Struthio camelus: one gene and its partner. The protein of the gene in region 2 purifies or fractionates together with the protein of the main gene of each other region. This does not show direct contact. Links are inferred from orthologs where the notes say so. Each region holds a gene or a part of one and is shown on either strand. Other genes may lie near its edges.

Region 1 (7,205 bases), on a different chromosome or scaffold from region 2:
CGCCGCCACCGCCACATCCACACGGGCGAGCGCCCTTACGTCTGCACGGCCTGCGGCAAGGCCTTCACCCAGTCCACCAACCTGCGGCAGCACCAGCGCATCCACACCGGCGAGCGCCCCTACGCCTGCGCCCAGTGTGGCAAGACCTTCACCCACTCCTCCAACCTGCTCCTTCACCAGCGCACCCATGCCGGCTCCCGGGCGCACAAGTGCCCGGCTTGCTCCAAGGCCTTCGTCTCGGACGCCTACTTGCAGAAACACCTGCAGACCCACGCCGCCCGTCCGCCCGGCAGCCCCTTGGCCCCACCGCCGCTCTTCCTGGCACCTCCCGAGGCCGTGGAGACAGTGGAGATGCTCTGGAAGTGCGGTGACTGCGAGCTGACCTTCAAGAGCGAGGAGCTGCTGCTGGGCCACCAGCAGAGCCATTTGGAGGTAGGGACACCCGGCCCGGGCCCTGGTGGTGACGAGGCGCCCACGGCGACGCACAACTGCCCCACGTGCGGCAAAGCCTTCAAGAACAGCTCTGGGCTGGCACGGCACCAGCACAGCCACACCGGCGAGCGTCCCTTCAAGTGCTCGGTCTGCGAGAAGACCTTCATGCAGCTGGCTAGCCTGCTGGGCCACCAACGCAGCCACCCCGCTGAGCAGCAGCTCATCCAGGCTGAGGCCGAGGTGACATGTCCCCAAACGGCGCCTGAGCCCGCCCAAGCCCCCGCCGAGCGCCCCTACCAGTGCACCGAGTGTGGCAAGGCCTTCAAGGGCTCCTCGGGGCTGCGCTACCACATGCGCGACCACACGGGCGAGCGACCCTACAAGTGCTCCGAGTGTGGCAAGGCCTTCAAGCGCTCCTCGCTGCTCTCCATCCACCAGCGGGTGCACACGGGGCTGCGAGCCTTCAAGTGCGCTGAGTGCGGCCTCACCTTCAAGTGGTCCTCACACTACCAGTACCACCTGCGGCTGCACACGGGCGAGCGCCCCTACGCCTGCCCGGACTGCCCCAAGGCCTTCAAAAACACCTCCTGCCTCCGTCGGCACCGGCAGCTGCACACGGGCGAGCGCCCCTACGCCTGCCTGGTGTGCGGCAAGGCCTTCACCCAGACCTCCAACCTGCGGCAGCACCAGCGCACCCACACCGGCGAGCGCCCCTATGCCTGCGCCCAGTGCGGCAAGACCTTCACCCACTCCTCCAACCTCCAGCTCCACCAGCGCACCCACTCCAGCGCCCGGCCCTACCAGTGCCCTGTCTGCTCCAAGGCCTTTGTCATGGCCTCCTACCTACAGCGTCACCTCCGCACCCATGCCGCTGGCCCCAAGGCGCCTGCCGCCCCCAAGGTGCCGCCCGTGCGAGATGGGTCCCACGTTCAGCCCGCTGCGCTCAGCTTGGAGGTGGGCAGCCCACCCACCGCCCCCAACGCCCAGACCTTCCTGCTGGTGCAGACGGCACAGGGCTTGCAGCTCATACCCAGTGTCCCCCACCCGCCGCAGAAGCTTATCCTCCTCCCTGCGCCGCAGCCAAAAGCTGCTAGCCCTGGCTTCGCCCTGCTGCCCGCACCACCCAGCAAAGCTGCCCCGCGCCGGCAGGAGAAGGGTCCGAAAGCGGTGGCGCCTGCCAACCCACCGCCGGCAGCCGGGCAGAGCATCCTGCTGGTGCCCAGTGCGGGGCAAGCCCTGCCCGGTGTGCAGATCCAGGCACTGGCGGGCGCTCAGCGGGCACCAGGCCTCGCACCTGGGGCCAGCGTCATCGTGCTGCAGAACGTCCCTGAGCAGCCGTCGGCAGAGGTGAGCGCCCTGCGGGTGCAGGCTCTGCCGGCACCGCCAGAGGTGGCCAGCGTCCAGCTGCAAGCCCTGCCGCAGCCCTCCGAGGTGGCCAGCGTCCAGCTGCAAACACTGCCGCAGCCCTCCGAGGTGACAAATGTGCAGCTCCAGGCCACCGAGGTGACAAATGTCCAGCTTCAAGCCCTGCCGCAGCCATCCGAGGTGACTAACATCCAACTGCAGGCCCTGCCGCAGCCCTCTGAAGTGACCGGTGTCCAGCTCCAGGCCACTGAGATGGCCAATGTGCAGCTCCAGGCCACCGAGGTGACAAACGTCCAGCTCCAAGCCCTGCCGCAGCCCTCCGAGATGCCCAACATCCAGCTCCAAGCCCTGCCGCAGCCCCCGGAGATGACAAATGTCCAGCTCCAAACCTTACCACAGCCCTCGGAGGTGACCGGTGTCCAGCTCCAATCCTTGCCGCAGCCCTCGGAGGTGACCAATGTCCAGCTCCAGACCCCCGAGGTGACGAACGTCCAACTCCAAACCCCCGAGGGCACCCGGGTGCAGCTCCAAACCCTGTCCCAACCCTCTGAGCCTGTGACAGGGCCGAGCCTGCCGAGCGGCCCCGAGCTGCGGGGTGCTGCGGGGCTGCCAGAGGGGCAGGACGTGATCGTGGTACAGAGCGGGCAGGGCGAGGAGCTGCTGGGGCCGGGGTCGGAGGTGGGCGGCTTGGCTGGGGTGCAGGACGTGCACCTGGAGATGCTGCAGACGGCCGAGGGGCTGCAGAACGTGCTGGTGCTGCGCGGCGCCGATGGCGAGCAGACGCGACTCTGCGTGCAGGAGGTGGAAAACCTGCCGGAGCTGCCGCCGGATGAGGCCCCTGGTGGGCAGAAACTCTTCATCATCCGCAGCGAGCCCACTTTGCAGGTGCTGGAGAATGTGCCGGGGGCCGGGGGCCAGCTCTCCGCGCAGGCGCGGGGGGCGCCCAGCAGCACTGGGGCAATGCCAGGGCCTGCTGGTGGTCCTGCCATGGTGCAGCTCCTGCCTGGCCCCCCGGCCCCGGACCTGCCCGCCATCCAGATCGTGCAGACGGTGCCCAGCGTCCAGCTGGTTCACACCTTCTGAGCGGGGCCCAACCCCAGGGCAGGACGCCGGGGTCCTCTCCACGGCCAGCCCTGGGCCCTGGGGTGCAGGAGCCACAGGGGGCTCAGCACCAGGACTCCTGGGTCCCTTGGGTGCTGGGGTGCGGGAGCTATGATGAACTCAGCACCAGGACTCTTGGATCTGCTCAGCAATGGGGTGCAGGAGCCATAGGCGGCTCAGCACCAGGACTCCTGGGTCCCTTGGGTGCTGGGGTGTGGGGGCCATGATGAGCTCAGCCCCAGGACTCCTGGGTACCCCTGTGCAGGTCCCCCAAGGAGAACTGAGCATCAGGACTCCTGGGTCCTCCCTCCATGGGGGTGCATGTCACAGGGCGGTCTGGCCTCCAGAGCACCCAGGTCCTCTTGCAAAGGCTGTATGACCTTGTGAGGGTCTGGGCTCCAGGACGCCTGGGTCCCCCCTGCACTGCGGTGTGTGCCCTGGGAGGGCCGGGCTCCAGGACGCCTGGGTCCCCCCTGCACTGCGGTGTGTGCCCTGGGAGGGCCGGGCTCCAGGACGCCTGGGTCCCCCCTGCGCTGGGGTGCGTGCCCTGGGAGGTCCGAGCACCGGGACGCCTGGGACCCCCCTGCACTGGGGTGCGTGCCCTGGGAGGTCCGGGCACTGGGACGCCTGGGTCCCCCCTGCACTGGGGTGTGTGCCCTGGGAGGTCCGGGCACTGGGACACCTGGGACCCCCCTGCACTGGGGTGCGTGCCCTGGGAGGTCCGGGCATTGGGACGCCTGGGTCCCCCCTGCACTGGGGTGTGTGCCCTGGGAGGTCCGGGCACTGGGACACCTGGGACCCCCCTGCACTGGGGTATGTGCCCTGGGAGGGCCGGACACCAGGACACCTGGGACCCCCCTGCACTGGGGTATGTGCCCTGGGAGGGCCGGGCACCAGGACACCTGGGTCCTCCCTGCACTGGGGTGCGTGCCCTGGGAGGTCCGGGCATTGGGACGCCTGGGTCCCCCCTGCACTGGGGGTTATGGGCTCCAGGACGCCTGGGTTCCCCCTGCACTGGGGTGCGTGCCCTGGGAGGGCCGGGCTCCAGGACGCCTGGGTCCCCCCTGCGCTGGGGGTTATGGGCTCCAGGACGCCTGGGTCCCCCCTGCGCTGGGGCGAGGACCCGCAGGAGGAGGGGGGTCGGAGGACGCCTGGCTCCTCCGGACACCTGGGTCCTCCCGGCGCGGCTCAATAAACGCTGCTGTCCCGGCGGGCGCTTCCTCCTTCCCTGTGCGCACGCGCAGGCGGGGCGGGGGGAGGGGGGGTAGAGGGAGGAGGGCACCCTGGCAACTGCCGCTAGGGGCGGGGCCGGCGGGCGGCGCCTGCGTGGTGCGGCGCGGCCCGGCCGCGGCTCGGCGGTGAGAGGCGCGGCGCGGCCTGGGCGGGTCCATCGGCGGCGGGGGGGGAGCGCGGCCGCCCCACGTGCCGGGGGCGGGGGGGGGGGAAGCGGGCCGTGCCACCGGACGGCGCGAGGGGGGCTGGGCGGCGGGGGGCAGCGGGCCGCACCACCGGGCGGGGCTGGGTGGGGGGGGCCGGTTGTACCACCGTTGCCAAAGGGCGGGGGCGAGGGAGGTGCTGAGGGTGGGGGACACTGGGAAGGATGGGGAGCAGTGGGGGGGGGACACTGGGTGTCACTGGGCGGCCCTGAAATCAGGCTGGGGGGCACTGGGGGGGGTTGGATCAGACTAGGGGGCCCTGAGGCCAGGATAGGGGACACTCGGGTGGCACTGTGATCAGACTGGGGGGCACTGGGGAGCCCTGAGTTTGGGGGGGGGCACTGGGGGGGGCTTGGATCAGACTAGAGGGCCCTGAGGCCAGGATAGGGGACACTGGGGTGGCACTGTGATCAGACTGGGGGGCACTGGGGGGGGGCTTGGATCAGACTAGGGGGCCCTGAGGCCGGGATAGGGGACACTGGGGTGGCACTGTGATCAGACTGGGGGGCACTGGGGGGGGCTTGGATCAGACTAGGGGGCCCTGAGGCCGGGATAGGGGGCACTCGGGAGGACATTGGGGCCAGATGTCACTGGGTGACCTGAGGTCAGGCTGGGGGACAGTATGGGAGGGGGGTACCGGAGGTCACTGCTGCCCTCACAGCAGGACGACCCGGGGGAGCCGGGAGGGGGGTGCCACCCCCTGACCCCCGCGGCGCAGCATCCTGGCAGCCCAGCACACCTCCACCATGCCAGCGTCCGCCGCCCCGCTCACCATCCGTCCCATGCGGCCCGACGAAGCCCCCGCCGTCCTGCAGCTGCTCCAGGTGCGCCCTGCCCCGGGGCACCCTAGGGTGCCTTTGCAACCAGCCCCCAATGATGCACCCTGGGGTGCCTGCAACTGCCTATGGGTGCCTTGCAACCTGCCCCTACGGTGCCCCCAGTTGCCCCAACGTGTGTACCCTGGGGTGTGCCCTTATGGTGTACCCTTGGGTACCCCTGCACCCCCCCCCCCCAACGCCCCCGTTTCCCTTTGTGTTTTCCCCAGGACGCCTTCCAGGACGCCGAGACCCGCCTGATCCTGCACGTGCTGACGCGGCCCCCTGCCCTGCTGCTGCTGGCGGTGGCCAGCAGCGCCCTGCGCCTGCTGCTGGGCTCGCTGCCCGCCGCCCTGCTGCTGCCGCTGGCGCTGAGCGGGGCCCTGCTCAAGGCGGCTGCCTGGCGCGGGCCCCACCGGCGGCCCCTGCCCGCCGCGGGGCTCTGGGTGGCCGTGGCCCCCGGCGAGGCGGCGGTACGCGGCTGCGCTGCCCTGGAGCCCCGCGCCAGCGAGGAGGAGGCCGAGCTCTCCCGCTTGGCCGTGGGCCGCCGGCACCGGCGCGCCGGCGTTGCCCGCCGTCTCCTCGCCTTCCTCGAGGGCCGGGCCCGGGCGCAGGGCTACGAGCGCTTGGTGCTGCGGGTGCCCGCCGGCGCCCCAGCCGCCCGGGCTCTGCTGGAGGGCGCCGGGTACCGCCGGCGCAGCGGCCCCCGCGCCTGGCTGGGCTGCGCTGTGCTGCACGAGTTCAGCAAGGAGCTCTAGCGCCCGGGGGTGCTGCCCCCTCTGCCCGCGCACCCGCCAATAAACCCACCCCCCTGCCCCGGCACCCACCCACCTTGGCTCCCGCTCCTCCTTGCGTCACCCTGGGGTGGTGGGCAGGGTGGGGGGGCCCCTGCATGGTGCTGCTGGCACCCAGTGTCGCCCTGTGACGCCCATATTGCCCCCAGGATGGCCCTGATTGTCCCCCTCAGTATGACCCAATGATTCCCCCAGTGTGGCCCACTGACTCCCAGTATGGTCCCGTTGTTCCCTTCGGATATGGCCCTGTCATGTCCAATATGGCCCTGCTGATGCCCCCAGTGTGGCCCCAACGTCCCCCCAGTCTGACCCAATGGCTCCCACTATGTCCCCAGTGTTCCCCTCTGATATGGCCTGATGATTCCCATTATAGCCCCGCTGGTTCGCCAGTCAGCCATGCTGACCCCAGGGTACAGCCACGCTGCGCCCCCCAGTATGACCCTATGACCCCCCCCCCCCAAGTGTAGCCCACTGTTCTCCCAGTACTGCCCTGCTGTGCCCCCTGTTTGTCCCCACTGGGCAACGGTGGCACATGTGCATGTGTGGCTTTGTGTGTTCCTCCATTCATGTGTGCATACAACGCCAGGACATGCGACCACGCACATGTGGCCGTGCCGTGGCAGGGCACGTGTGAACGTGTGGCCATGCGCCAGCAGTATGCATGCATTTGTGCACACGTGGCCATGCCGTGGCAGGGCCTGTGCGCATGTGGCCGTGCACCGGCAGTGCAAGCGCGTTTGTGCATGTGTGGCTGTGTCATGGCAGAGCATGTGTGTGCGTGTGGCCGCGCAACAGCAGTGCATGTGCACTCGTGCACGTGTGGCTGTGCAAAGGTGGGGGGGGGTGTGCACGGGTAGCCATGCAACAGAAGGGTATGTGCATGCGTAGCTGTGCAAAGGCAAGGCGTGTGCGTCTGTGCATGTGGCTGTGCAAGGGCAGGGCGTGTGCGTCTGTGCACGTGGCCGTGCAACAGCAGGGCGTGCGCCTCTGCCCGTGCGGACAGCAAGGCGCGTGGGCGCGTGTGCGCCAGTGCACGTGTGTCCCCGGGGTGTCAGGCTGTGCGTGGCGCCCAGCTCTTCCAGCCTTAACCCTTGCATGCCCGGGCCGTGGCTGGGCCGGGCTGGGAGGAAGATGCTGCACCTGAGTGTCCCTGGTGACTGGAGCATCCAGGGGTCTGTGCACCCCCCCCCAGACCACGTTGCACCCCATCCTGCTGCCAGCCCAGCCCCGTGCGTGGGGGGCGAGTGACGTCGTGTCCCCAC
Region 2 (7,263 bases):
TCTCAAATGAACAATATGGTATACAGCTTTCTCAACTCTCCTCTTTTTCTTACCCCAGAAATATTCCTACTGTGACTTGAGTTGTTAATAATTAAGTTAGTGTTTAATGTTTTGACAGTTAGCTCTGCGTTCCTTTTTTTTTTTTTTCTTTACCGACATAGCTACATATGCTCTCCATTCAGCAATGGAGAGATTGTGTGATGGACAAGTTTGAAGAAAGATGGGTGAGTTAATGAGATTTTAGATCACACTTTCCATATAAATGAACACTATTTTTGTTAACCTATATAAGCTTTCATACCGGAACATCTTAAGGCAGTAAATTCCACAGATAAATTCTACAATATGTAAAAAAGTACTTCTGAAGTTACATTTCTCAAAGCACAGGAGGCTTTGCTGGCTTGGAGAGGAAGTAATTCATGAGTTCTTTCTTTTCTATTCTAATATAGCAAGATTTTCAAATCTTTCTTAGGAACTTTCTGCTGACTAACAGTTGAATTCAGAAATCCTGGCCTAATACAGGGCTTGCTCTAGACATATTTATTAATATATATAACTTAGATAAAAATTTAGTTAGCATTCATTTATTTTAGTTCATTGGAAATCTTAATATAAATGATATTGTTAGAATTGACATGAGGCCAATGAAGCTGAATTGACTATGGTGATTTTAAAGCACTAACATTTTGTATTGTAGCACTCCAGCATTGATTCCTTGGCAAAGATGCTTTATATATTCAAATTCTACACAAATTACATGCAAAATGAAGTCCTTTCATCTGTCAGTATGCTGCCTATGGCTGTAATTATAGCAGTGTGCACACATCACATTAATAATATGGAGGAAATCTGCAGTACCATAGGATCCTCTTCTATTTGCCATAATTGCTGTGATTAGTAAAAGGGCAGAAAACGCATTTGCTTAGTCCGTGAAAATAAGTTATACAGTATTTAAGAAACGAAAGTTATACATAGCTGCATTTCTCAGTAAGCCGTGAAGTTCAGCAGGGGTCTTGCTAAAATGATGCCTATATTCTCTCCCATTATGTTGTACAAATAAAAGTAAGCTCTTTGCCAGGTTGGTGGAGCTCATAGGAATGTCCTTGTCATTACAGAGGTAGTTCTCTAAAGAGTTTTCCTGTTCCTACATCATTTATTCCTTGATCCTTTGAAGGACAGTAAATTGTAGAGTGCAGTGATGACATTTGTGAATGGGTGACTTGCTTTTGTTCTCCCATCAGGTGAGAGGGTGGGAGAAGCAACAAGATAAGCTGCAGTAAAGTCTTACTGGCTCGCTTAAAACTAAAACCAAAAAAATAAATAAAAATCTTGTAACCAAACAGGGTTTGCTGCATGTGCTTATCATATTCTGTGTCTGGTTATGCCATGTGTAAATTGTCTTCACGCCTACTCATGCAAATGAAAGTTAAGATATTATCATATGATCATATTGAAATTGAATTTGTATGTGAAGAAAATTTGATATGCACTGTCTGAGGTCAAGAACCCAATCATGCAATTAGATAAGAGTTTTTAGAAATTTCCATTTTTATCACTCTTTTTTTCACCTTCGCACTTCTATTATTCATTTTTCCTGGGACATGTATCTCTTGTCTGCCAGCAATCAGTTACTGTCTTGCAAGTATTCTTCCACAGTGTATCTCTTCAAACTGATTAAAATGATTGTATCTGCGAGTCCTTGACCTCAGATCCTTACTCCAGTGTACTAAGTTATTTGTGGTGTAGAATGGAATTTTAAAAAGTTTCATTTGTTTATTTAATCATGAAGTTCAAGATATGTCATGTTAGAATGACAAGCCACTTTGATCTGAGGTATCCCTGTTCTCTAATACCTCTGAGGCCTTTTTCTGTAGCACATATTGTAATTCTTTAGTAAGCAGAGAATCACTAGATTATGAGCATTGTACAGAGTTTCTGCACAGACCTTGTTTCCTTTTATTAAAAAACACTGAGAGACATGCAATCAAATTTAAGCCAAAATGTCAGAAATTGTTATAATAAATAAGAGAATAATAGAATAATAGTGATAGCTGCTTCCTGAGGTTTTGAGGCATTAAGCTGTCAGTGGATCTTTTTCTGTCTGTGTATCTCAGCAAAATTCCAAGAAGTTTTTAACTGCATAGTTCTGTTATTTTCACTGTCCCATTTTATCAGTTGGCATAATGTCAACATGGGTAGGTGGTATGGGCATAACACTATTAAGGAAATGTTTGAAAAAAGAGTTAACAATTGATTTTACAAAGTACTTCAAAAGCAGTAATCTCAACCTATGTAGACAGAAAAAAGCTTTGATCACGACTGGATGACTGAAAGCAGAGGTAATGCTCTGAAGTCAGGGTTGAAAGCAGAGATTTAAACTTGAGTCACCATCAGTGATATCATCACCACCGAGAAACTCATTTACAAGCCAGAGAACGAAAGAAGTTTGCAACAGTTAGTCTTACAAGGGGAAGTCAGTTCTGCTTTGAAATCAGCCACGGTAGCCTATAACCATTATTATCTATTACTTTTTAGTGCACTATATATTTATTTTTGTCATCACTGTGTAGTATAAATGTTAATGTAAGATATTACCAGTATTATTATGTAAACCTCTCAGCAGCTTTCAGTAGTTACAAGTCATCAAATGTGTATTTTTGTATGTTAGCTTCTCTCAACAAGTTGAAATAATTCTCCCTTTGCTTGTACACATGCTAGTTGTAGAGAATAAATTCTGAGTTTTAATTTGTAATTGTATATGAAACACCAAATCATGTACAGATAAACCTATTCTGTGTTAGTTTAGAGACTTAGCAATCCCCAGGCTTAAGTGCTGGAAGCCATTCCCTCATTATCTGAGTAATTATTTTTTATTAGTGGAACAAATGTGGATGTAGTTAGTTTTGTTTCACAGTGGGAATTACGTGGAGGCCAGAGGAGATGCTTGTAGTCATGTGCTTCTGCCTTTTTGGTCTTCATATGGAAAAAATAAAGCAAATTTTTGGGATGAAAATTCCTGTACTTCCTGTTTGCATTAAGATGAAACTTTAGCAATTTTAGTTTGATAAAAATCTTCTGTAATTTGTAAAGGTAAAATAATATGTTTTGATTAAAATGTCAGGGTTTCTTTGTACTTGAATAGCTAATAATAGGACTGTTTTTTAGAACACTCGGCTTTGACCACAAAAGAGTTCGTACACACTTCCATGTGCTTGTACCTTATATTTGTGAGAACATTTGTTTACGTTTTGCATTTCGCTCAAGCTGCTGTGGTCGGTTTCCTTTTTGTTTATAGTCAGTATCAGTTGCCAGTTCTCAGACTTTAATCCAAGATAATTTCCTTTGAGCGCACCATCCTGTAGGAGACATTACTTGCATTTTCGTACTACTTGCATTTTCTCGATCTAGTTTTAAAGAGAATTATACTATTTCCATTACTGTTAAGGTAAGCTGGCTTGCTGCTACACGAGATTTGAAGAATCAGCTGAGATGATAATTCTTCATTATTACACTCAAGGTTTGGGAGATGGGAGAATGATATATCTGGTGTATCTGTTGCTGTGAAATCCATCATGACATTTTTCACTAAATTCCAATGTGAGAATATTGTAGTGGCATGGTGAGATAAAACTCAACTTTGCAGCAGCATCCCTCAGCAAATCTGAGTGGGTGGAAAATATGTTTTTCACCACAGCCTGAACTATCCCGGCTTTTTTAATTGTTGCAGATGTGGCACAGAATGAGTGGGGATGAAAGGGCCTGTTCTCTATGGATACTGTTTTCTTAAGAAGAATACCACTTTTTTATGGAGCTGCTTGAAAAGATTTCTATTCTGTTTTCATATTTGCAAAAAGAAGTAATAATTTGATTAAAAAATTTGTAATGTTTTGATTAAAAATGAAATTCAAGTATTTTAGAAAATTGCCCAGATAATTCACTAAAGTAGAGGACACTTAGGGTGCCTGCATGTATTATTGATCATAGTTAAATATATTTTTCAATAGATGTTATACATCTTGACATCTGCTGAAATAAAGTGAGGACTGTTTACATAAAATGATAACTACTAAAATAATTTGTTAAATACATTCAATTATGTGATGCTTAGAACTTGCCAAGAAGAACATGTACTAATTCCTATCCACCTCCATTGTTACCTTAAGAGCAACTCTCTCCATAGCAACTGAAAACTTTTCAAGGCAGCAATAAACTAATCCTCTCCAGCTTCCAGAGAACCATCAAGGAATTTTAAAAACATTGGACTTCCAGCAGCTAAATGCTTCTGCGGATTCAAAAGGCCACAAAGCTAGAGACATATAATCATTCTTTTTTCCCTACAGAAGGTAAGAAAATAATGTTTAGAAATAAATGCATCCCCATAACTATGACACATATTCCTCACTGCTAACAGCAAAATTTATCTAAACACCAAAGCTTTTCCTAGCATCTAAAACATACTAATCTTTCTCTGAATGCCAATGTGAATTCAGCAGTTATTTTTTTTCATTTTAAATACTCTGTTAGCAGTTTTCTTTAAAATGTCACATATGTATTATATGGTAGTTAAAAGAAGCTGAACTTGTGTGACTGTCTAAGCTATGTGTATTATCATCAGCAAATTTATGTAGCTGCCAGCATCTACCCATCAACAAATTGAAAAACTCCTAGTGTAAAACAGAACCTAAACTCTTTTATCCTTCTTGTGTTTTGATACTGAGATACGTATCGTTAAAGCAGAATGTTAGTGTCTTAGGAAGGATATTGCCAAGACAGATTTACAGTACAGAATGTTGTTTCCATCTAGGATTTCAAAAAGTTAAACTGATTGCTTCTGGTATATTTGTCTTGTTTAATCATTGAGTTGTATGAATGAACTTCTTACCTCAGTTCTTTAACTCTTTCATCTGACCATAAAGTATCACTAATTTTTAGGCAATTATGTTAATTCTTGTTTAGTGTTGTACAGCTGAAGTTAAGTAATATTGGTAAAGTGTTTTGAAAGTAAAACCTGCTCTGCATCAGTGCTGTGTAACATAATTACTGCACGTTCATATCAAGATTACCCTAGTGATCTTTATTTACACCTATTACTGCTTCTAAAACCCTGTTTCATAAAGGAGTGAAAGTGAAAGCTATCGTATTTTCCTGTTCTGCTGAAGAGGATTATTAGTGAATGCAATAACATAACACTGAAATGAAAACCATGCAGTTTACTTTTATGAGGAGGGTCAGGCAGTTTTAGTCAACCTCTTGCTGGTAATTCTACAGGAGTTTTAAGGCCATGGTCGTCTTAGTTTCCTGCTGTTCTGAGCTGTAAAGTCCCTACAGGCTCCCTGTTGTTCAAAAACAGCTTGTCACTGCAAATCAGCTTAGCCAACCAATTAATAAATCCTCGCAAACATATTGCAGACACACTAATTAAAGGGTTGGGGTTTTTTTCCCCTTTACTATTCAGATTCCTCAGGTTTCAAGTTTAAGCTGTGAAGTGCAAACAACAATCGAACATTCAGTACAGATCACGCACGGCAGGAAGAGGAGATGTGTTTTCTGACCAAGCATCCAGCTCTTGGGGTGGTATGTTCTGCTTTCATATTCAGCGTGCTCATTGCTGAAGGACAGTCTGGGGAAGAGCATGGGCAGGATGGCAGCTCTGCTCCCAGCCGAGGCTATCTGATGGAAGTTTTACGCATTCTTTCAGCTGACAACACTGAGCTCCACAAGAACCACTCACGAGAACTGGTCAAAACGTTACTGGAGAGAGCTGAGTGCCCACAGCGGATTTATGGCATGCGAGAGGATTGTAATCTGGTTAGTGCTTCAATTAATGAGGGAAACCTTTATAGGATAGTCAGTGAGTTCTAAAATTATTTCTTAGACTGACACCCTCCTGAATACAAAAGTAAACATGTAAAAGGCTTCTTCTTACAGCAAAAGTGATAGTCCTTGCTTTAACTGTTTCATCGTAAGTTATGAATATTTCTTGTTTGATCTTATAGAGATATTCCAAACATGATAGGTATACCTTAAAAATTCCATATTCCTTTCAGATAAGAGTAAAAATTTTCCTTTCAAAGCTTTCAAATGTTTATTTTCTGGGAAGGATTTTTTTACTTTTTGCTGATCTAACTTTAAAAGCTAGAGCTTGAATTTGGGACACAGAGAATTTCTACTGTAGAAAGACATTGGTAAAAATGGGGGGAGCAGTTCTGTCAGTTTTTTTGTTATGGATTTTAGTTCATAAAAATAAATCACAGCCAGGATTGTTTGAGATTCATGTGCCACTTCACTGAAGTATCTAGGATTGATCCAACAATGGATCTGCAAATCCAGATTTGACATAGTTCAGGGTACAGCTTCACAGAAGGTTCAGTTGTCTAGCTGAATTGAGAATACTTTCAGAACTGATTCCTGATTTGATCAGGAAAGGGACAAGAGCTATGAGATCTTAGGTTCTAGTAGGTAGGAGGGAGATGGTGCCTCAGCTTGGCATTTTCTTTCCCACACTAGTTGACACTAACTAATTGGTTTCAAACTCAACTTTCCCTTCTAAATCCAGGATTCCTGTAACACCAGACCACTTTGTTTTCATTTTTTTCTTCATTTGTAATGATGCATGCAGTGGATATTTAAAATAATGCAGCAATGTTCTAACTGTTTTTTAAACCCCTTTTTGGTTTGTTTTTTAAACTGGCCCCCTAGAGCGTTTGTGAAGGGACTAGCATCTCTTAAACAGCATCTGACACTCTTTTATCTCCCAAGCATGCAAAAGGCATATATTTCTTGCAGTGGTAAGGGATTTTTCTTCTGACTCCTGGTTGCCTAAACAAAGCAAACTCAGGGCTCTGTGCCTAGGTTCAGAGCTAGGCTCTTTGTTATAGCAAATAAGCTTTTCTAAACATAGGCCATGTGCATGATTGTGCCTCTAAAATTCTAGTAATAGCAAAATAACCAGTGATGAATCAATTTATATTCTCTTGATATCATCTTGTGGGCTACCTAGATACTATGAAATAACAACATCTTTTACAATGTACCTGCTTCCTTGCAGTTAGCAATTTCCTTTTCAGTCATCTTCCTTGCTAGAGTAAACAGCTTTGCTGATTACAGTTTATCCTTACTAGCTCTTGAAATACTGTAAAAGTCTTTGAAAATCTTCTGTTACATGCCTGATGTTTCTTATACACCCTAGGATGTATTTGAAAAAGCTGATTGACTAACTTGAGGCCTCTAAGGGACAGAAAACAGAATACTTATGCTCCTTCA

The links. Proteins that work in one complex are often made in the same cells at the same time.
Region 1: the proteins of SLC39A12 (region 2) and NAT14 purify together in Homo sapiens (co-immunoprecipitation; 3 studies listed by BioGRID and IntAct, counting the BioPlex papers as one, with this or other methods). This does not show direct contact. The link is inferred for Struthio camelus from reciprocal best matches to the Homo sapiens genes SLC39A12 and NAT14.

Annotation. Positions count from the first base shown.
Region 1 is NC_090975.1:1,178,255-1,185,459, forward strand, and holds the start of NAT14 (probable N-acetyltransferase 14), read left to right. Parts: upstream 1-4,191; 5' UTR 4,192-4,256; intron 4,257-4,858; exon of another isoform or gene 4,859-4,995; 5' UTR 4,996-5,080; coding exon 5,081-5,158; intron 5,159-5,379; coding exon 5,380-5,907; 3' UTR 5,908-7,205. Other genes in the region: zinc finger protein 628-like, read left to right, coding at 1-2,880. UniProt on the Homo sapiens protein: Probable acetyltransferase. May act as a transcription factor that regulates the expression of coproporphyrinogen oxidase by binding to a promoter regulatory element.
Region 2 is NC_090943.1:23,505,148-23,512,410, reverse strand, and holds the start of SLC39A12 (zinc transporter ZIP12), read left to right. Parts: upstream 1-4,252; 5' UTR 4,253-4,276; coding exon of another isoform or gene 4,277-4,343; intron 4,344-5,455; 5' UTR 5,456-5,538; coding exon 5,539-5,808; intron 5,809-7,263. UniProt on the Homo sapiens protein: Uniporter that promotes Zn(2+) import from the extracellular space to the cytoplasm across the cell membrane. The transport activity is temperature dependent. May play a role in neurulation and neurite extension.